3 linked regions of the Caenorhabditis elegans genome follow. The protein of the gene in region 2 purifies or fractionates together with the protein of the main gene of each other region. This does not show direct contact. Each region holds a gene or a part of one and is shown on either strand. Other genes may lie near its edges. The genes, in order: egc-2, pid-3 and Y41C4A.32.

Evidence for each region.
Region 1: the proteins of pid-3 (region 2) and egc-2 purify together in Caenorhabditis elegans (affinity purification with mass spectrometry, with the first as the bait; one large-scale study listed by BioGRID). This does not show direct contact.
Region 3: the proteins of pid-3 (region 2) and Y41C4A.32 purify together in Caenorhabditis elegans (affinity purification with mass spectrometry, with the first as the bait; one large-scale study listed by BioGRID). This does not show direct contact.

The regions. Positions count from the first base shown.
Region 1 is NC_003282.8:8,900,048-8,903,828, reverse strand, and holds egc-2 (CCHC-type domain-containing protein), read right to left. Parts: upstream 2,184-3,781; 5' UTR 2,169-2,183; coding exon 2,112-2,168; intron 2,066-2,111; coding exon 1,444-2,065; intron 1,397-1,443; coding exon 1,079-1,396; intron 1,033-1,078; coding exon 869-1,032; 3' UTR 652-868; downstream 1-651. Other genes in the region: Putative serine/threonine-protein phosphatase C27B7.6, read left to right, coding at 48-128, 429-582; rad-54.L2 (Helicase ARIP4), read right to left, coding at 2,782-2,867, 2,914-3,063, 3,107-3,781.
Region 2 is NC_003279.8:2,618,739-2,622,481, forward strand, and holds pid-3 (Protein pid-3), read left to right. Parts: upstream 1-1,911; 5' UTR 1,912-1,920; coding exon 1,921-2,085; intron 2,086-2,132; coding exon 2,133-2,210; intron 2,211-2,256; coding exon 2,257-2,486; intron 2,487-2,545; coding exon 2,546-2,996; 3' UTR 2,997-3,121; downstream 3,122-3,743. Other genes in the region: spe-47 (Major sperm protein), read left to right, coding at 1-468, 1,319-1,453, 1,501-1,611; Y23H5A.2 (t-SNARE coiled-coil homology domain-containing protein), read left to right, coding at 3,219-3,276, 3,580-3,743. UniProt on the Caenorhabditis elegans protein: Component of the pid-1 and tost-1 variants of the PETISCO complexes, which have roles in the biogenesis of a class of 21 nucleotide PIWI-interacting RNAs (piRNAs) that possess a uracil residue at the 5'-end (also called 21U-RNAs) and embryogenesis, respectively.
Region 3 is NC_003281.10:11,719,940-11,724,107, reverse strand, and holds Y41C4A.32 (Beta'-coat protein), read right to left. Parts: upstream 2,403-4,168; 5' UTR 2,378-2,402; coding exon 2,225-2,377; intron 1,850-2,224; exon of another isoform or gene 1,783-1,849; intron 1,611-1,782; coding exon 1,131-1,610; intron 892-1,130; coding exon 761-891; intron 707-760; coding exon 595-706; 3' UTR 501-594; downstream 1-500. Other genes in the region: Y41C4A.12 (Exocyst complex component Sec10), read left to right, coding at 1-44; Y41C4A.11 (LITAF domain-containing protein), read right to left, coding at 3,109-3,294, 4,022-4,069, 4,137-4,168.

The sequences.
Region 1 (3,781 bases), on a different chromosome or scaffold from region 2:
CTTCACAATCATGTTATAGGAGCATTTTCAATATGTGTAATTTCCAGCTCAAACCAAGATGAAGATCATTCTGTATTGGACATGATTCGCAAGACACAGAAAGGATATGGAGTAGAAGTTAGTTTGAAGTAAGTATCATTTACTATATATAAAGCGCTTATTCTGTGTGTCCATAGTTTGTAGTCTATGTAGCCTTTGTAGTCTGTGAAGTTTTGGCTTCTGGAGGGATAGTGAGTTAGGGTTAGTGTAGGGATATAGTTGGGGTACTGTAGTGGTACAATAGTGGTACGGTAGGAATACTGTAGGGTTACGGTAGTTTCATAAAAAATTAATTTTCAGCCCCAGAAGTCGGGGGCCGCGCCGAAGGTGCGGTCCACGGCTGGTTTTTTATATGCGAAGAAGTTTTTTCATGTTTACAATATTTCCAGAGATAAAGTCATGTCTCTTGAATCAATCCGCAAAAAATTGGGAATGACTACTAGTACGACGCCGCCTCCGCCAAGAACTCCATCTCCGGACGCTCCACTCGCCCAATCTCCGCCAATTCCACGATCGCCTCCGAGTTCTACTGAAAATGCGTAGATTTCCTTTGAATGAAGTATACTGTAGAAAATGTTCAAGTTTGAGTGTGTATAATTATGAAACGAGAGTAACATGAAACACTTTTATGAAATGAGGTTGAAGACTCAAATCAAAAATACAAGTTTTCAAATTTAGGACAGAAACAATTCCAGAACGTAAAAAACAATACCTAGAAGTCAATAAATGGAACAACAATGAAAAACAGTAAAAATACGCTGCAAATTGGGCAGAGTTCCCAATAGTAATTATTAAACATTTTCCTTGATAGCATCATAATTATCAGAAATTATGAATTTTGTGAAGCGACCGGCACGAACTGGGCAGCGATGACACGGACGTTGGGCGGAAGAACTCGTGGGAAATTGATGATAGTCGTCTCCTCGAAGTGGAATTCTCCATCGCGCATCACAGTTCTGCGTGTCTCGATTGACAAAGTCTCCGTAGAAATTTCTGTAATAATGAACATTATACAATTATAGAATTTTGATAATCTCACGTTTGGCTCCTTCTCTGCTCTGTAGAGTGTTGATTGGAGCAACTGGTGGCACTTCTTTCATCAATTTTTCAGCTGGCCCTTTTCCAGTGATAGTCATCACGTATGGCGACGGAGCTACCGGCTCGACATTGCTGAGCTTCAAAGCATTGTCCAACTGCTCTGAGAATTTGTCAATTTCGGGCGACATCATTGGTGCTGTGAAACCACTTCTCACGCTGCCAACACTTCTTGGGGTGAGACTGTTGATGCTGTAGCCGTACCCTCCATAATAAGACTCACGGGCCTTTTGATTGTCCAACTTGCTTTGATACAGTCCACCTGAAAACATAAAAATTGTTACGTTTTCCTAGTATTCAAACAATAACCTCCATGCAAAGCCTTCATATTAGAAGAGTATCTTGATGCGTCTTCTTGGAGTAAATCTTTCGTCTCAAATGGTTCCACTTCGATATCTTTTCCATCTCCGTGTTCATCCGTTTCTCCAACCTTCTTCGGGCACATTCTCGAAATGTGTCCATGCTCTTGACAATGGAAGCAGTGGCCTGGCCCACCTCGCCCACGTCTACCGGTTCGGCGGCCAGAGCGTGGTCTCTTCGATGAAGATCCCATACCATCGGATCGGGGCGAACTTCGGAAAGATCCACGCCGTGGACTACCCATTATATTCTCAGATGGCAGAGGTGTCACGCAACGTTCATTATTCATGTAAAGAGCATCCGAAACAGCAACACGAGATGATCTGCTTTCTCGATAACTGCTGTACCCTCCTCGTACGGAACCAAATCCAGAACTGTCGTTTAGGTGAGAGGAGTTTCTGGGGATTCTACCGCCAAGTCCACTAACGGATCCAAAATCAGAGAAGCCTTCACCTCCTCCAAATCCTCCTCGATACTTTCTCGGTTGATCAGTTAGCGCTCCGAATGCTCCACTATTTTGAGTTTTTGGCCATGGAGAGTATTGAGCTCTCTCAAGATAATGTTGTCTGTCCTGAAATGAATAGTTTACAAATTGTCATTAATTTGATAAAAAATACCGTTCTCGCCGACATTCCGTTTTCCATTGACTTCATTTCACTCGACAATTCCGACATATCCGACCGAAATGTCTAAAAAAATTATTTTGAGAAACTGGCAGAACGCTGAATATTTAAAAATTAATCTAAAAACCATTAATTCATCAGAAATGGGTGAGAGAAATGAAGAAAATTGAAGAAACGTGCCGAACGAGTTCAGAATTTCGTGTCGGGACCAAAACCTACAGTAACCAAGTCAGTATTTAAAAACGCGTTATTAAGAGGCACTACAAAACGGGGATCTGCGGAAAAATGTTATTCCAATTTCTCTTTCAAGCGAATCCGATAATTTAAATATTATTCGTATTTATTCATTAAATTAAAAGAGAAGGCGTATAAAACACAATTGGCAGCTTGCCGAACAGCGGAGCTGATTACTGTGTTGGAAAAAACAGAAAAATTTAATTAATTGACATACTAATGATAAAAGGGAAGAGTGTGGACAAAGTTGAAATGTGGAAATTCGAAACTTGCCTAAAATTAATTTAGGAGCCTCTATAAGAGGAAAAATAATTGAGTAAAATGATAGTGAATTATCAGAGATCTCATTGGATGTTGCATTGAGATAGATGTTGTATTTTATATGATAAAAAACGAAATGTACATCAAAAGAAAAAAATGCAAGACGTTGTTAATCAAGATCGATGACTTCTTGAACCTGCTGCGGATCATGGTTGAAATTTTTGCTTAGATACATATCACGAAGCTGACGGGCATCTATAAATTTTAAAAAATTATACGAAATTTTTTCTAGTAAACTAACGATTCTCAAAAACACTTCCGACAGCGTCAAGAATTGTTCCATCACGTAGTTTCACATAATATCCATTTTTCGGAACAACTAACTGTATTGGTGTATTTGCCTGAACCTGATGAAGCTGATCTCTATGTCCGACAATGGGAAAAACGAGTTCTAAAAATTTGAATTTTCAAAAAAACTTAAACGTCAAACTCACGTCTATCAGTAATCAATTGTTGAACTGCTCCAGCCGGGGAAAATGATGGTATTTTGCTCATAACAGCTCCCGGAAAAGCTGATGGATCTCTTGGAGGAAGCATTTGTTGAGGGTTTCCTATAGCTCCTCCATTGTTATTATTCGGATAGCCATTGTTGAATGACGTCATCGTATGACCACCTCCTTGGTGATGGAATTGACTGACATTCATTCGAAGCGTGTGAGGCATTGGTGATGGACGAATTGATGGAATTTGAGGTGATGGTCCATGAGGTGGAAATTGTGACATGTTTGGCATCGGTTGTGGAAATTGCTGTGGTGGATAAGATCCAAAATTGGGTGCAAGCTGATTAGGAGATTGTTGCCAATGATTATTGAAACTATTTTGCATGTTATTATTGAACATCGGAACTGGTGGTGGACCCATCATTCCCATTGAGCTTCCAGGAGCATTGTTATAAAAGTTAGAACTGCTCAGGCCACTCAATGGATCATAGTTCTCCATACGTCGTTCTCTATCAAAAAGTAATTGAGCTTCTCGTTTTTCCTGCTCGCTGAGTGATTGCTCTGACTCCATTATCAAGGTTTCATGAAGGAACGGTTTCCCGGCAAACATTTGACTCATTCTCTTAGTGATTGAGTCTAGAACCGGATCTCCGAAATCCCAATCATCTG
Region 2 (3,743 bases):
GTATTTTTCTTCCACGCGGTCCGCTCCAACTTGTCCGCAGTGCCCGCCACCTGGAAATTCGCGGAGAAGCTTGAAGTTCTGACGTCACTGGTTTCACAGCTGGAGACTGATGGTTTTCTGCGGAACTACGATGCGATGACACCAACGATAACCCAGTTTTCTGAGGATGACTCGCTGCAATACATATTCCCAGTGGAAGAGAATTTGGAAATGAGCACAGCGTGCAGTTTCGTGCCGTCACTTGATATGCAGAGCACCCAGAATCCGTCTCCATCTACTTTGAAAACTATGAAAATCGAGGAAAGCCGGAATTTCCAGACCATGTCGGCGATGACGTTGGCCTGCGGTGGAGCTGCAGCAGATATTGTCACCGTGCCGGCCGACCGGATCACGTTTGCCGCTGGCAAGCTGGAAGAAGTTATTCGAGTCACTAACGTCTCGCAATCGCATATTATGTTCGCTTTGAAGGTGAGGTCTCGGTTTGGCGCGTAAAATTGTATGTATTGTGGTTTTTGTGCAATTCACCGACTTCAATGCATCGGACTTTACGCACAAGTTGGTACTTTGTGATTTTCCAAACATTTTTGCTGAAAAAAAAAATTGAAAATTCGAATTTGCGTGTAAAATTAACTCGCAAATTATTACGATATTATCAAAATATATAAACTGACATGTGAAACGTGGCTTATTTTTTATTTTGTTTTTTATTTAAGCGCCTCCCATTTTTTTAAATGAGCTAATAAATAAAAATTTTAACGAAAGGCCAGGAATGGGAGGAGCTTAAATAAAAAACAAAATAAAAAATAAGCCACGTTTCACATGTCAGTTTATATATTTTGATAATACTTAACACAAAATTCTGAGAATGCTTATGGCGCAACATATTTGACGCGCAATATATCTCGTAGCGAAAACTACAGTAATTCTTTAAACGACTACTGTAGCTCTTGTGTCGATTTAACGGCTCGATTCTAGATAGAAATTTTTAGATAGCTAATTAGATATGGATTTTCGAAATATCGATAGAATATTAAAATTAAGCAAAAAAGTAAATAATTCGAAGAAACGAATTGTTTTCATTTCGAAAACGAAACCCGTATATCGACACAAGTGCTAAAGTAGTCCTTTAAAGAATTACTGTAGTTTTCGCTACAAGATATTTTGCGCGTCAACATTCTAGAAATCTAGAAATTTCTAGATTTCTAGAAAATCTAGAAATTTCTAGAAATTTCTAGACGCATTCTAGAAATTTTGTGCTCCCGTAATATACACAAATTGAATTGTATAATGTAAATTGTTTGAAAACCGATAATTTCAGACAAATGCCGACGCCTACCTCATCGCTGCTCCAACTTCTGGAGTTCTTCTGAGCGGACAAAGCATGACAATCCGTGTTGGAGTCACTGGCAACTACTTCGATGATTTTTCGGATCCTGGAGTTTCCATTGATAAGGTTATTTTATAATTCTATTGAATAAAACTTCAATTTCCGATTTCCAGCTCGCCATCGACTATGCTCTGATCCCCAGCCGTTCCTACTCCAAATTTTCCTCCGAGTTCTTCTATTCCCAGAACCGACGTCGCCTCGCAATTCGTGTGTTCTATCAATGATTTGTCTCTTTTCTCGACTTTATTTTATTTATTTTTGTATTTGTAAAAAGCTTTTATGAGTAAAATTGTGTTTAAATCATGTTTTCCTGGCATTTCTACTTCCATGGGAGATTTCGATCCCTAAAACTGAGGTTTCAAACAAGCTGCAAGTACGCTCTACCGTACGAAGCCATTTTCAAACGCGGGAAATTGTTTCAAAAATTAATTTCGGAGATTTCTTTTTCATTTTTTCTGATTTTCTCGGCCTGTTTCTTCAGTTTTCTTGTAAAATTTACTGTTTAATTAATAAAAATGTACATTTTTCAGAAAATGGTTGCCCATCAGAAGGCGGATTTCAAGTCGAAATGGGCGATGGTCGTGACTGTCAATAACCTGAATGACAAGAAGCGAGCCGATTTGAGAGAATTTTCCGAGTGGTTTATCGAGACTTTGAGATTGGAAGGAGCTTTTATTGGTCACTATTTCAATTATGAGGTTATTAAGAGTTAATAATTAATTAATTATAAATGCAATAATTCCAGGCTGCACCGGTGACCATCGTCGAGACTTTGCCAGGCAATTTTGACTCATGCACTAATGCATATCAGAAGATTCACAAGGTTTTGATGGATAAATTAAATAAAATTCAATTAAATAATTCTTCAGGAGCATCCGCAGGTCGTCCTCGTCGTGCACATTCTTCCACAGTCGCAGTCGAACGAGTACGAGTGGATGAAGGTGTTGGCGTCGAGATACGGATTCGTCCGTCAGGGATTGCTCTACGATAACTGTGCCAATCGTTTCCAAAATGTGGAAACCGATCAGAATAGCGTGTTCCGGAACATGTGCCAATGGATTTATCGTAGCGGCACCGCGATTGTGAGAAATGAGGGAAAGTAAGTCGAATTACATTTTTTTATTTAGCCATTTTTTATTTAATTCCTGTGTGTTTCAGCGCGTGTGGAATTCTCCATGGAAAAGATCCGAAACCGACGTTCGACAAGGTTCTCTTCAACAGCGAAGACATCAAGGATTCCGTTTTCAAAGTTCTTCACGCCGAAGAAGAGCCGAGAGGTGCGGATCAGGAGAACATGCTGAAGATCAGTGGATATCCGGGGATGCTCAACACGTTCGGCATCGCACAACTTCTCACCCCATATCGTGTCAATGGGATCACCATCACCGGCGCCCAGTCGGCCGTCGTTGCCCTGGAGAACAAGTTTCAAGTCTATCAGGCCGTGCAGGATTTCAACGGGAAGAAGCTCGATCGCAATCACAAACTTCAAGTTAGCAGCCTCGTCGTCTCGTCGCCAGCCGTTCCACTCGAGTGGCCATCGCTCAAAAAGTCGAAGAAGCTCGTGGAGCAAGTGGGAAAGCCGATCAGACTTTCGAAAGTCTCCTCTTAAATGTGCCCCAATTTGCTTATAAGTTATTTTTTTCTGATTTCTGATGATCTTTCTTCGATATCTCGACCTTTACCGGTTTTTTTAATCAATTTGCTCATATTCCTTGATAAATAATCTCTCCATTAGCATGTGCGATTTTTTTTTCATTTTAATCTGTTAAAATCGGGGCTCGATTCTTGTTTTCGTTGGAGAGAATTGTTCTTAAAATAAGTAATTTTTTAGATGGAAGAAGGCAGCTCCTCACAGCCATCCGACGACTATGAGCCGAGATATAAAATTTGTAAGATTTTCCAGGTCTCGACACGACAATTTGTGTTCATTACAAATAGGTGTGCGCCTTTAAAAAAGTACTGTAATTCAGAGAAGATTTTCTGCGGAATTTTGATAGATTTTTCAGAGTTTTTCTCTCGATTTGTTGAAATTCAAGTGTTTTATTGTTATACTAGAACATTAAGCATATTTTTACTAAAAAAAAACAAAAAAAATCGAATAAAATTATGTGTCGAGACCGGTGTTCGGCCCAAAACTTCCACAAAAAATAAAATCTCGAAAAAACTCGTGGCGAGACCCAATTTTCTTCCAGCACGACCAAATCAACAAATGCGACTTCCTATAATTCGGCCTAAAATCCCGCCGAAATCCTCAGGCCCACCGGTTCGCCTGATCACCTCCGCCACTCCACAACCGATAGCGCCGAGCACATCGAACCCGCGGCCGCTGATCTCACTGCTCGATCGGACAGAGTTT
Region 3 (4,168 bases), on a different chromosome or scaffold from region 2:
TGTCACCGATTCCTGGGCTTAATGATATTGTTATGAGACTTTGAATTGCCTGATAAATACTTTGTCGAATGATAAAGGGGTTTTTGGACATGTACACCTTAAAAAAAAATCCACAGTTTGCCAATTTTTCCGGAAAAAACATTTTTTTTCAAAAAAAAAACGCATAATTTTTTTGCACAGATTTCTGGCTTCCCTCATAAATTGAAATGGAAGAGTTTGCCGAACTAGGCCATTTTGGCTCGGCCATATCCGGGGTAGATTTACGGCGCGTTGTGTGTCGCGTCGCGGCTCGATTTTAGTTGTAAAACTAAATGTATTTGTCCGTGTGGAGTACACGGCTTTCCCATGCATTGCCAGAACCCTGTGTTTTTGCAACAAAAAAAAACAAATTTTCCAATTTTTTTAATCAAAAAATTCACTTTTTTTTATGTTGGAAACAACAGTATTTTTCAAATTTTCGTTCTCAAAATTCCATACTTTTCAGACGTTTTTTTCGAAACTTTAACTTGAATACACTTTATTTCAAAAAACTGTATACATTTGCAGAATATTTATAATATATCGTTATTTAGCACATACAATTTCCGAAAAAGCTCAAATTTCCACTGTAACAGCTCCAGAGTCAAATCCAACTGCAATTGCATCGGATTTTCCAGCAGCCACACACCAAGCTCTTCCCTTCTCAAAATTCAACTCCTTTTCCAATCTGAAGTTTTAGGTTTTGAATTTATTTTATTGAAGTTGAGCTAAAGAAACCCACGAGAAAGTCTGCGAATTCCAAATTTTTACAGTAGAATCCTCGGCTCCGGAGATAATCCATGTCTTGAATGGGGTGACAAAGGTAACGTTGTTTTTGTGAGCATTTTTTAGAGTTTCAATGCATTTTTGGGTCTGAAAAATGTTCCGATGCACCATGTCTTTTTTTAAACTTTGACCACTTTTATCTTGGTTGGTTTGGACTTTATCAAATAGTTGTCAATTACAAAATTATAGAGAAACAAACAAAGAATATTTTGTCAATTAGCAACATTTTGATAGAATAAAATACCAGCGATATACGAGCTCCTAAAGTTAAGCGTGGTGTTTCCGCTCGATGCACCATGTTTATAAAACTTCAAATTCCCGCTCACCTGAATATCCCAAACACAAATTGAGCAATCATCGGAGCCCGAAACAATTCTCCCACCGGTCAGAAACTCCACACAATTCACCCCCTTCTCATGACCCTCCAGAGTGCAAATCGACTCTTGCTCACCGAGCTTCCAGACTTTCAAAGTTTTATCCAACGATCCACTGACAAACATCTCCGGGTCTTCAGGGTTCACGGCAATTTGCATGATATAATGAGCATGCTCCTGGAATTCCTGCTCCATTCTCCACTCGTTTTCCCAATCCCAAACTCGGATCTTACGATCGTCGGAAGCCGATATGAGGTAGGGAAGTGTCGGGTGCACGGTTAGGGAGCGAATAAAGTCAGAGTGAGCTGTGAACTCGTTGATTAGGCTGAACGTTTCAGCGTCGAAGATCCGGATTTGCTGATCATCGGAAGCGGTGGCGATCCAGTTTTTACGATGGATGAATTTGGCGGCACGCGTGGATTTTTCGGAGACCTGGAAATATAATTTATGAATTTTGAAACGGTGAAAAACTTGGCAAATGTAATGTGAATGTTCTAGTTTAGGCTTAGGCTGAGGCGTAGGCTTAGACTTAGGCTTACGCTTCGGGTAGGATTAGGCTTATGCCTAGGCTTAGGCTTAGGCTTATGCTTCGGGTTATGGTTATGCTTAGGCTTAGGCTCAGGCTTAGGCTTAGGCTTAGGTTTAGGCTTACGTATAGGCTTAGTCTTAGGCTTAGGCGGGGCTGGGGGAGGGAAAAGAGAAATACCCAGATATTCCGAAAAATCCAAAAAAAAGTCAAAAAAGTCAAAAGTCAGGAAAAATTGGGCATTCCGAAGTCGATCATAAATTCCATAAAAAACGACCGAAAAAAAAGAACCAAAAAATACAAAAGTTTCAAAAAATTAGTAAAAACCAGTTTATCGGGGCTGGAGAGTTGAAATAGAAAAGTGATCAATTTGGAAAATGTGGGAAATTAAAATTTTCTATAACTTGCTAGTAGATATTTTTCTGAAAAATTTTCTCTCCGCTGAGATAAGCACCCCTATGTAAGTAGAGCTAGAGTACACCCCCTCCTTTACTGAAAAATCAGAATCGTTTTAACTCACCTCCATAGCCTTGACCAACGTTTTAGTGTCATAATTCCAGATTTGAACATTTCCAGTGTGCAAAGCAGTCAAAATCCATGGCTTCTCAGAATGAAAGTCCACCGACTTGACGCGATCCGAGTGGGAAACGAAGTTTGGAGCTGGAGAGGACATTTTTCAGATAAATCTAATCTGCTTTACCATTTTTCCCATTCTTTGTTATATACTCTACGGAATTTCACAATCGGACAACTCAACACTTCCAACTAGCCCTAGGGCAACGTAATGGAGCGGAGAGTGTGTGCGAAAGTGAGAGGGTTGCCCTTTTCCATGATTTCTGTCTTTTCTGTGACTTTACTTGTGATTATTTTTGTGACTTTACTTGTGATTACAATTGCCGAAAATTTTCGGCAAATTGTGGTTTTGCACATTTTTTTTTGGAAACTTCAGAATATTAATTTTTCAGGGATGGGCAGCATACAATTTTTTCCGTCAAATCGGCAAATTGGCAAGTTGCCGGAATTGAAAATTTCTGGCAAATCGGCTGTTCCTACAGCTATTTTGAAAAGTAAGCAAATTCAATGAAAATTTCTAAAGAAAACGGAAATTTTTTTTAAAGGACCGATTTAAATGTTTCCGTCTTATAAAAAATCCGTCTAAAAATTTCCGGCAAGTCGATATCCGGCAAACTGTCATAGTTGAAAATTTCCGGCAAAGTCGGCAAACCGGCAATTTGCTGATTTGTCGAATTTGCCGAACGGCAGAAAGCACTGAAAAAAGCCTTACAGTTAATTTTTAATGTCAAGGGATAACAAAATACCAACAAAAAAATTCAAAATCTTCATTGCCCGTCACAAAAAAAAATACATGTTTTACAAATTTCTGGAAATTTCTGTTTCTAAAAATTAAAAACCGGCTCGATTCGACGTGGCAAGTAACAATCCGCAATTTGGACAATTATGATCGACATCCTTGGATACATCAAAACACAGACAAATGAGAATAGGCCAACAGAATAAAAAGGTTCCGAAGAAGCAAATAAGCCACCAACACATTCCGATATGTGTTGTTACTGATGTCATTATTGTTGTCTGGAAGGAAGATGCGAATTATTTGTGAAATTTGTTAACTAGGAAGTTGTAGAAAATTCAATTTTCTACATTTTGTTAGTTGGCAAAAATTTGATAAAGCTATCCGGCGCGGAGATATGAGCGATCAAAGTTTGGAAATACAGAGCGCTCTCAGAGACCACATCTCTTTAAACACGTATAACTCGGCGCATACAAAAGATACAAGAAATTTGTTAACTGACATGTTGTAGAAAATTAAATTTTCTATAATTTGATAGGTAACAAAATTTCAATAAAATAAATCCCCGTGGAGATATGAGCGATCAGAGTTTAGAATTAGAAATTTTAATTTTTTGAATTTTTCCCACAATATTTCAAACTGTTGTAACTTTTTTCTCATTTTACTTATCAGAAAATCGTTAATTGATAAATTGTAGCAAATTTTATTATCTACAGCTTTTTATTGAAAATTAAAAAAAAAAAATTTTTCATCCATAAGATAATGCGGGTGAAAGTAGGCTCACGGTACAGACCCTCAACTTATCTGTGCATTTAAACTCCTGTAACTCGACAGAGAGAATAGCTAACAAAAAGTTGTCAACTAGTAATTTGTTGCAAATTCTATGTTCTACATTTTATTAGTTGACAACTTTTTGTTAGCACTATTGCCGCAAGAGATATGAGCATTTTTCGTTGGAACTTGTTTTTAAAATTAATTTTTCAATTTTCAAAGCTAAACTGTACCAACCTGACATTTTGGGCAAACATCTAAGTACGGAGTTTTTATAGGTGTTTCCTGGAAAAAAAATTAATTTTTTTTGTTTGGGAAAAGCCCCTCTAGGGCTCAAAAACTGAAAACTCACCTTCACCACGTGCCGGACCACTTTAACTGGCT